2 linked regions of the Danio rerio genome follow. The protein of the gene in region 1 purifies or fractionates together with the protein of each later gene. This does not show direct contact. Links are inferred from orthologs where the notes say so. Each region holds a gene or a part of one and is shown in the gene's direction. Other genes may lie near its edges. The genes, in order: yeats2 and zzz3.

Region 1 (3,821 bases):
CCCGTCTGTAATTATCAAGTGCTGCTTCAGGTTCTGTTTAAAGGTGCAGTAGGTGATCTGCCAAAATGCTAACCACTTAGCATATTATCTTTGGACAGCAGGGAGGGACTGGGATTCAAAGCCACACCCCCCGAAATCGCGAGCGTGCGCACCGCGTCACAACAGCAGACAGACAACACACTAGTTCATGTCATTCGCCAGTTAGTTAGTGTTTAGCCAGCGCCGTGCAGGAATTACATTTATTACTTAGCCACACTTGCATGCTATTTCAGAGCGAATATTCAGAGTAGCATGGTAAACAGTATAGGAAGGCTGTCATTGTTCAAAAATAAAAACCCTGTTTACACCCATGTTTAGCGTTGTGCACTGATGATCTGATTGACAAAAATGCATCTTAAAGGGTTAGTTTAATGAAAGTTATGTTATTAATTACTCACTCTTATGTTGTTTCAAAAGCACAAGACCTTCTATCCTCATAATAACTTTATTCATTTTCTTTTTGACTTAATCCTTTATTCCACTGCAGGCACATGGACATTTTTAAGGATGTTATTGGAGACTTTCTTAACAAATTGAGTCTATTACTGTCTATGGAGGATGATGGAGCTCTTAGATCTCATCCAAAATATTTTCAATTGTATTCCGAAGATGAACAAAGGTCTTGGGGGGGTTGGAATGACATGAGGGTTAGTAATGTGTAACAGACATTTAATTTTTTGGTGTAAACTAACCTTTTGATAACAGATATAAACAAGACTCAAGAGTCTTATTGTACACTCATGTTTGTAGTTGGTAGGATTTTTTAAATTCTTTTGTAATATGTTTAATATATTGATACAAGAAACGTTTCTTATCATTAAAAATGTTTAAAACGTTTGCAGCTTAATTTTATTGAAGAAACTACAACAAATTGTTAATAGAATATTTACAACAACTGTATTTATGTTGTAACAGGAATAAAATGCTTTTATTGTCACCTTTGAGTCTTAATAATTCTTGCTTTGCTTAAATATTCAACTAAAGTATTTCATTTAAAAAAATGACTCCAGTTTTAGCAAAGGTGCAATATTCTATTTTTAAGTTTTTATCAATACAGAACAGGCAGTGCCCTCTAGAGGAGGTGATTGTATCTCTAACTGTGGTGCATTTGTCAAATCTGTGTGTTTAGTGAGCCACCGTTTCACCTGACCCGTCGAGGGTGGGGAGAGTTTCCTGTCCGTGTGCAGATCCACTTTAAAGACCAACGGAACAAACGTATCGACATCATCCACCACTTAAAGGTCAGACACTTGCTGACCGCTTGCACGCACGCTGTCTTTGAACCCCTTTTGTTGCCCTTTTCGTCTTTCCTTTTCCCCCTCTTTCTTTTGCTTTGTACTTTCATCTGTGAGGAATTCAAGCAGTAGATGACTTGCATCCACCTCCATGTCTTTGATATTATTCACTGAGAGGATGTTTTGTTTCTGCGAATTGTGCAGAATAGAATATGTCTGTACGAATCCATTATTTTATACATGGTGTTTCTAATCTAAAGGTAAAAAAGGTGGATTTTTTTAAAGCAGTCTGTCTGTTTAGATTTCCTTTCTTCTTTTATCTCTTGTCACAGCAATCTCTTTTGTTCTTGGTAGAAAAAAAAAAGATTAAATAGAGGGGCATGAAGTGTGAAAAAAGAAACGTTTGTGGGTTGAAGTACTTCATCTGCCATCCACTGCAAATACTGTTGAATGTTTTTTGATGTCAGTGTTAATCTTCTTTTATTTCTTCTCCATCAGCTTGACCGAACATACACAGGTTTGCAGACTTTGGGAGCTGAAACGGTAAGATAAACACAAGCTGTACTCATAAGTTTATATGACCATTCTAATTTGTTTATATAGAACGTTTTTTTATTTTTAAATTCAAGATATGTTGAAAAATTATGAGGTGACGCAATGGCTCAGTGGTTAGCACTGTCGCCTCGCAGCAAGAAAGTTGCTGGTTTGAGTCCTGGTTGTCAGTTGTCAGTTTACTGTTGCCCCACAGTCCCAAGACATGCAGTATAGGTGAATTGAATAAACTAAATTGGCCATAGTGTATGTGTGTGAATGGGAGTATGGGTGTTTTCCAGTTCTGGGTTGCAGCTGGCAGGGCATCCGCTGTGTAATACATATGCTGAATAAGTTGGCGGTTCATTCCGCTGTGGCGATCCCTAATAAATAAAGGGACTAAGCTAAAGGAAGCTTTTTTTTCCCCTATATTCTGTACTACCCTGAAGAAACACAACTGTCACAAAAAGCTACAAACAGACGTTACTGCTCAAGTAGGCAACACACAATATTAATAACACTATATTAATGTTTTAATAACTGGATATTTTCTGTAACTTCATTTATTATTTTGTCTTGTGTAGTATAAAAATGATATTTCATGGTACATTTTTAATTCTAGGTTAAATTCTGGGTTAACACAGGAAATGTTTAACTTGTGCAATAAGCATGTGTAAATGAGCTTCTGTTAAAAATAGAAGCCAAGGTCTCGACTGTCAATATAGTAATGAAAATGTCAGTCTTCAAAATGATGGCGAGCACAAATCTGCAGTTTTGGTTAGTGCAAGTGTCAGTGAGGTAAATGAAAAGTATGAGTGAATGTGTCAGCTGAAGATTTATTGATGTTGTTCACTTTTAAGAAAATAAGAAATGGAATAAATCCTAGTTTCTAGGTTCTGACCTTGATATTACATTGTATTTCAACCAACTTTTCAGAATATACTGTATGCTCAAATATTTGTGAAGAAGGTTTCTTCAGTAAAAGTGCAGAGGTTTTATAGTTCTAAACTCCTTTTTTTGACATTGGTGTTTTATTTTTCAGATTTGTAATTTTTTTTAAATGCCATTTTTCAATTGCTTTGTCTTTTTCCTCTGAAGGTGGTGGATGTTCAGCTCTACAGGAACTCACTGGGTGATGACTTCATCCCCTCTGCCCCTTCATCATCCTCATCATCATCTTCTTATCCAGCATTCGTAGGCGGATCTGGCTCCTCCTCCTCAACTATCCATGGCTCTAGGAGAAACTCCTCTCCCTCTCATCCTGCTCATGATGATCAACACAGCTCAGAAAGAGGTAGACAGACTCGTGGTTGTCCATTTTACAGTGTCTACACAAAAGAATTTCACCTCTTAGATGTCCATTTATATGTATGCGAATGTTCTAGATCAGAAACGCAAGCTCGTGTGACAAGTTTTGCATGTCCAAAGTTCAAGCTTGGTGAACTCTGACCTCCCAAGTTTGCATTTTGTCATTGCGTGAGACCAATAGAAGATCAAAACTTGACCTCTCTGTACAGAAATGTGAAATATGATGGAGCAGTCACTGTTTTTATCAGTGCTTCATCATCTTGTTTTATCCCTCTCCTTTTTATCTCTCGATTTAAAAACATCCTGTATAAGATAATAAATTCAAACAGACATATTCTATTATGTACATAAACATGGTGAATGACTGTCGTGTACTACTTGCTCAAATTAATGTGGCCACAGCTTTTATATATTTACCCACTTGCTCTATCCTTTTTATAAAGAGAGGATTAGTAGGATATTTGCACTTTATTGCATGAGAAGTGGAAGCTGTGATTTAATCGTCTGTTTATTATTCTTTGCCTGCACAAATAAATTATGTGCCAATGCTTTTTGTGCTTGTGACAACTTAAACTGTCTCCAAATTATACTTCTTAAAGAATCGTTTTTTTCTCATTCATTTATTTCTTCCCCAGGTGTCACTGTCAAAAGTGAGTCAGTGCGTCCTTCATGTTTGGAACAAACTTCACAGTCAAACAGGTCTGAAAA
Region 2 (4,326 bases), about 39 Mb from region 1:
TTTTAAACTTTAAAAATATTAAATATTCACATTTACATTTTGGGGTCACTTTAATTTCTTTGGTCCGAATGTGTTTTTGAGTGGTATATTTTAATTTTCTTGGACACCAGGTTTTCAATAATTTTTCTTTTTGGCTAGCAAACAGAAGCCTTAACAGAAGGGAGAATGATCATTGATTTGGGACTGCAACTAACAATTACTTGAATCAGATAAAAAAAAAGAATTAATTTCAAAGTTCCAACCCTTTATTAAAATCAGAACTACAATCTTTAGAAAGTGCTCAAACATGTTGCTCCTTAACGTGATGCGCACACCATGTGTACGTCACTCCCATGTGCACCTCCTTTGGAAATGACAAACTGACTCTAAGCTTATTGGCATTGCTTCCAAGGTGCGCGCTCGGCAGACACATTTTAATAAAACTATAGCGCTTCATACCGAAACTACATACCAAACTTTTTTTGTTACTGATATCGACAATGGTGTTCAGTTAATAAATACAGTTAAATCTTTCTCCTAACCATCTCAGGTCACGTATTTTTTATTTATATTTTTTTCATACAAGTTAAAGAAATCATAACTACTGCGCTTCTACCACCTCAGTTTCCCAGAACTTCTGGAGCTTGTTTAGTCATAAAAGCCTGTGATCTCGATTTTTATCGCCCAGCCCTATGCTTCACCCCTGAGCCTGACATCATTATTAGACAATTCAACACCCAAGTAGACCCATATTCCTATGCTTTGCTCAGTCCAGGGTGCAGAGCCCTTGAATGGGGACTTAAATGTTACCATGACAAAGCAAAGCAGCAACCACAGAAATGTTTTATTGTTTATTTTCCGAGCGATTAAATTGAAGTTTTATAATTATGTTTTCAAAATATGCTGTCAATTTCAATCTCTTCCAGTACTAAACACAATTCTTACCTATGAAGTACTAAGAGAAAGTGTTGGTGGTATTTCACAAATGTAATTGAGTATTTAAGGAATTTAATTGAGTGTACTAGAGGTTATAGGAGGAATGTGTTTTCTGCAGTCTGTTTATATATCAATAATAATACAATTGGTTACAGTGAAGTAAGCATTAGTCTTTAATCAAGAACATGATCTTTCAACTGTTAGTTCTGCAGCTTTATCGTACGTTTTTGTTTTTTAATTTTTAAAAGTTAAAACTTTTCTGTGTGTAAATGTAACTTCTTATGAACTTGTTTTACATGAATCCACTACATTTCAGAATATACTAACCTCTGTTTAAACTTGTGAACATTTCAGTGCTGTGCAGCAACTTTGATTTAACCTGAGCACATTTGCATGCATTCTCAAATATGTATGTTCTTCAGGAACAGCAACCGATTACATCTTTTCTGTCTATTTTTTGTTATACACTTAAACCTGTGTAATTTAGAATCTGAACGGTCTGTAATTAGTCTCTCATTGTGTCACTCAGGTGCCCACATACTGCTGCTGAGGAGAGAGCACCACGATGAGGAGACAGTAGGCACCCACCATAGTATGGCCGCGTCCCGCTCTTCGCGCGTCACAAGATCATCAGTGGGGATAAATGGATTGGATGAGAACTTTTGTGGCCGAACCCTCAGGAACCGCAGCATCGCCCAGCCGGAAGAGAGCTCTCCGCCTCCCGTGCCCAGAGCTCGCTCACCCAAAAAGAAGCAGGACTGTCAGCAGCACCAGCAGACCGGAGCACAGGTTGGAAAGGTAACTGAGAGCAAAGCGGAGGGCGAACCCGTGCCTGCATGTGGAAAACGTGGCTTGCCGAGCTCCGAGAAGGAAGATTCGGACAAATTTGATAACTGTGAGCGTCAAAGGTCTGGGTGTGGGCCTGAAGCCTCACCTGCCCTGAAGAGGGCCAAACGCTGTCCTCGCTCAGGTGAATCACAGGGGGCAGAGGAAGAGCCTTCTCTCAAACCCGAGAGCCCCGATCCTGCTGTATTGAAGGAAAATGACGATGGCGCCAAATCAAATAATACTTCAGCCTCAGACAAAGAGGCTGATCAGAAAAAGGATGGCCCAACAGAAGAGATCGCCCCTCAACCAGAGGTCAGCGAGAACGTCAAAGCAACCAATGGCCTCGCTGAACTCTATAGAGAGGACTCAGAAGTTGCGGCCTTACCTGTGGAGCCCTGTGCCTCCCCTGCCACACTCAACAGCAGTCCCTCACTGTTAAATGGCAGCCAGGCTGCGCCCTCATCCCCCGACCCTATTGTGCCTTGTAGATCCCCTCATCCCAAGCAAACCAATGAGCCCGACAGCCCTAAAATTGACTGTGAGAGGAACTGCACACCTGAGGAAGCCGCTGAGGCTGTGCTGTCTCAGGAACCCGAGATGGAGGTAGAGGTCGATGTTGTGGGAGAGGCTGGCCAGGCTCAGGATGAATTCGTGAGAGAGGAGAGCACCAATGGTGACTTTCAGGCTGAACCACAGGACCCTTCTGACAACTGCTCGAATATCTCAGGAGAAACGCTGTTGGCTGCTTCTCAGCTGCCCGCCGAGCCCCCCTCCTTCACAGAGCCTCAAGAACACCGCTACACCCTGAGGACTTCACCGCGCCGCGCTGCCTTTGGTAGCGGGCTCAAAGCCAGCTCCCCCAAACCCACTTCCCCACACATAGACAATGGTTCACTGAAGGAAGAGACCACAATGGTTCCTTTTTTCTCAGAGGACACCAGCCATAAAGACCCTTCCCATGATGCACTGGGACTTTCTTGCGAGGCAGACAGTGAACTTTTCGAGGAAGAGGTTGTCAGCGGAGAGGTCGGAGTGTCTGATAGTAGAGAGTCAAGATCCACCAAAGAGCTGCTGGCTGCTCAGGCTGAGGAAGATGAGGAGGAGGAAGAGGACCCAGATGTCTACTATTTTGAGTCGGATCACTTGGCTCTCAAACACAACAAAGAGTATGTTTAGGTTTACGTTCTTTCATTTGAATCTTTTTCATAATTGCGGTGATTCAAGATTATTGATTAGAAATTTGCTTTTGGCTACCCCAAACCCAGCATTTAAACCCAACAACCCAACTTTGAATACAACGGACATGAATCATGTAGCTTTATGAGAAGTCTTAAGTCGACTGTCAGCCAGAAATACTGTAGGTTAAGAAGTATGTTTTGGTTGACTTTTATGTCTGTCACCAGTTTGAACCTGTTAAAAAAAATCTACAAATTAAAAATCTTTGATCCATATTCAGATTTTCAGATCAGCTACATTTCTATTAAAATTATTGGACTTTGTTGGTGATCTGAAAATCTGACTGCAACTGTAGTTTGGACAGACCAGAGCAATGTTTAAAAACCTATAGTATCGTTCATCTGTTGCTTTAAGGAACCTCATAATGGCGCGTTTTCACTAAGCCGGACGGTACGGTACGGGTCTGTACGAGTCACCTTTATCAGGGTTGCGTTTCCATTGCCAAAAGGGTACCAATGGTACTCTTTTGGTGGGCATGGTATTCAACAGAAAGTTTCAGTCAACGTCCTTCTAGCTTGAGGAAATGTCAAAGTAAAGCTGTGCAATCAGTGCAAACCTCTCATCTGTATCTTTAATCTTCACCTGCGGTTAAAAAAGCTATTCATAAGTTTATAATAGTTCAAAAGGCGACAATAGTAGTTAAACATTGTCGTTTGTTCATGGTTTAGGTTGCTGAAAGAATCATTTGCTCATTTGTTTTTTTGTTTTTCTGGCTTCTTTTTTGTTTTTTCGCACTATACTCTCGCGTTGGTCTGTTTCTGAAAGGATTGGATGTCTGAAGCACTTTATTAATCATGCGCACGTTATTATAATCAGCTCAAAAAGTTTGTTATTTCAAATATAGAAGCATGACGAACGCACACAAGACAGCAAAACTGCTCGCCCTTTAAATAACTACTGGCCACAGGGTAGATTCTGCTCTTTTTGGCTTTGTGGCTGTTCATCAAGACAACGACAAGGTTGTTTGAGCTCAGGTCAACCATGGTTCGTTATTATATGTATATATTATTATGGTCTAGTGCAGGGGTCACCAATCTTTGTTCTGGAGGGCCAGTGTCCCTGCAGGGTTTAGCTCCAACTTGCCCTAATCCACCTGCCTGAGTGTTTTAAGTATACCTAGTATTGTACATATGTATTTGATTAGGGTTGGAGCTAAAATCTGCAGTACACAGACCCTTCAGGAACAAGTTTGGTGACCCCTGGTGTAATGTCTCAGCTGTGTATTTAAAAAAGGTGATTCCTTTGTTTTTATTCTCCTGCTTTTGCGTGTAACGTATCTCTGTAAACCAGTAGCGTTTAGTTGCACGTCTTGCTCCGCCCTTTGGTACCCTTTTGTTGTGCTAGGTA

What was found.
Region 2: the proteins of yeats2 (region 1) and zzz3 purify together in Homo sapiens (affinity purification with mass spectrometry; 3 studies listed by BioGRID, with this or other methods). This does not show direct contact. The link is inferred for Danio rerio from reciprocal best matches to the Homo sapiens genes YEATS2 and ZZZ3.

What each region holds. Positions count from the first base shown.
Region 1 is NC_133177.1:47,779,424-47,783,244, forward strand, and holds part of yeats2 (YEATS domain-containing protein 2), read left to right. Parts: intron 1-1,168; coding exon 1,169-1,280; intron 1,281-1,772; coding exon 1,773-1,817; intron 1,818-2,903; coding exon 2,904-3,099; intron 3,100-3,748; coding exon 3,749-3,821. UniProt on the Homo sapiens protein: Chromatin reader component of the ATAC complex, a complex with histone acetyltransferase activity on histones H3 and H4. YEATS2 specifically recognizes and binds histone H3 crotonylated at 'Lys-27' (H3K27cr).
Region 2 is NC_133177.1:9,147,830-9,152,155, forward strand, and holds the start of zzz3 (ZZ-type zinc finger-containing protein 3), read left to right. Parts: upstream 1-1,509; coding exon 1,510-2,909; intron 2,910-4,326.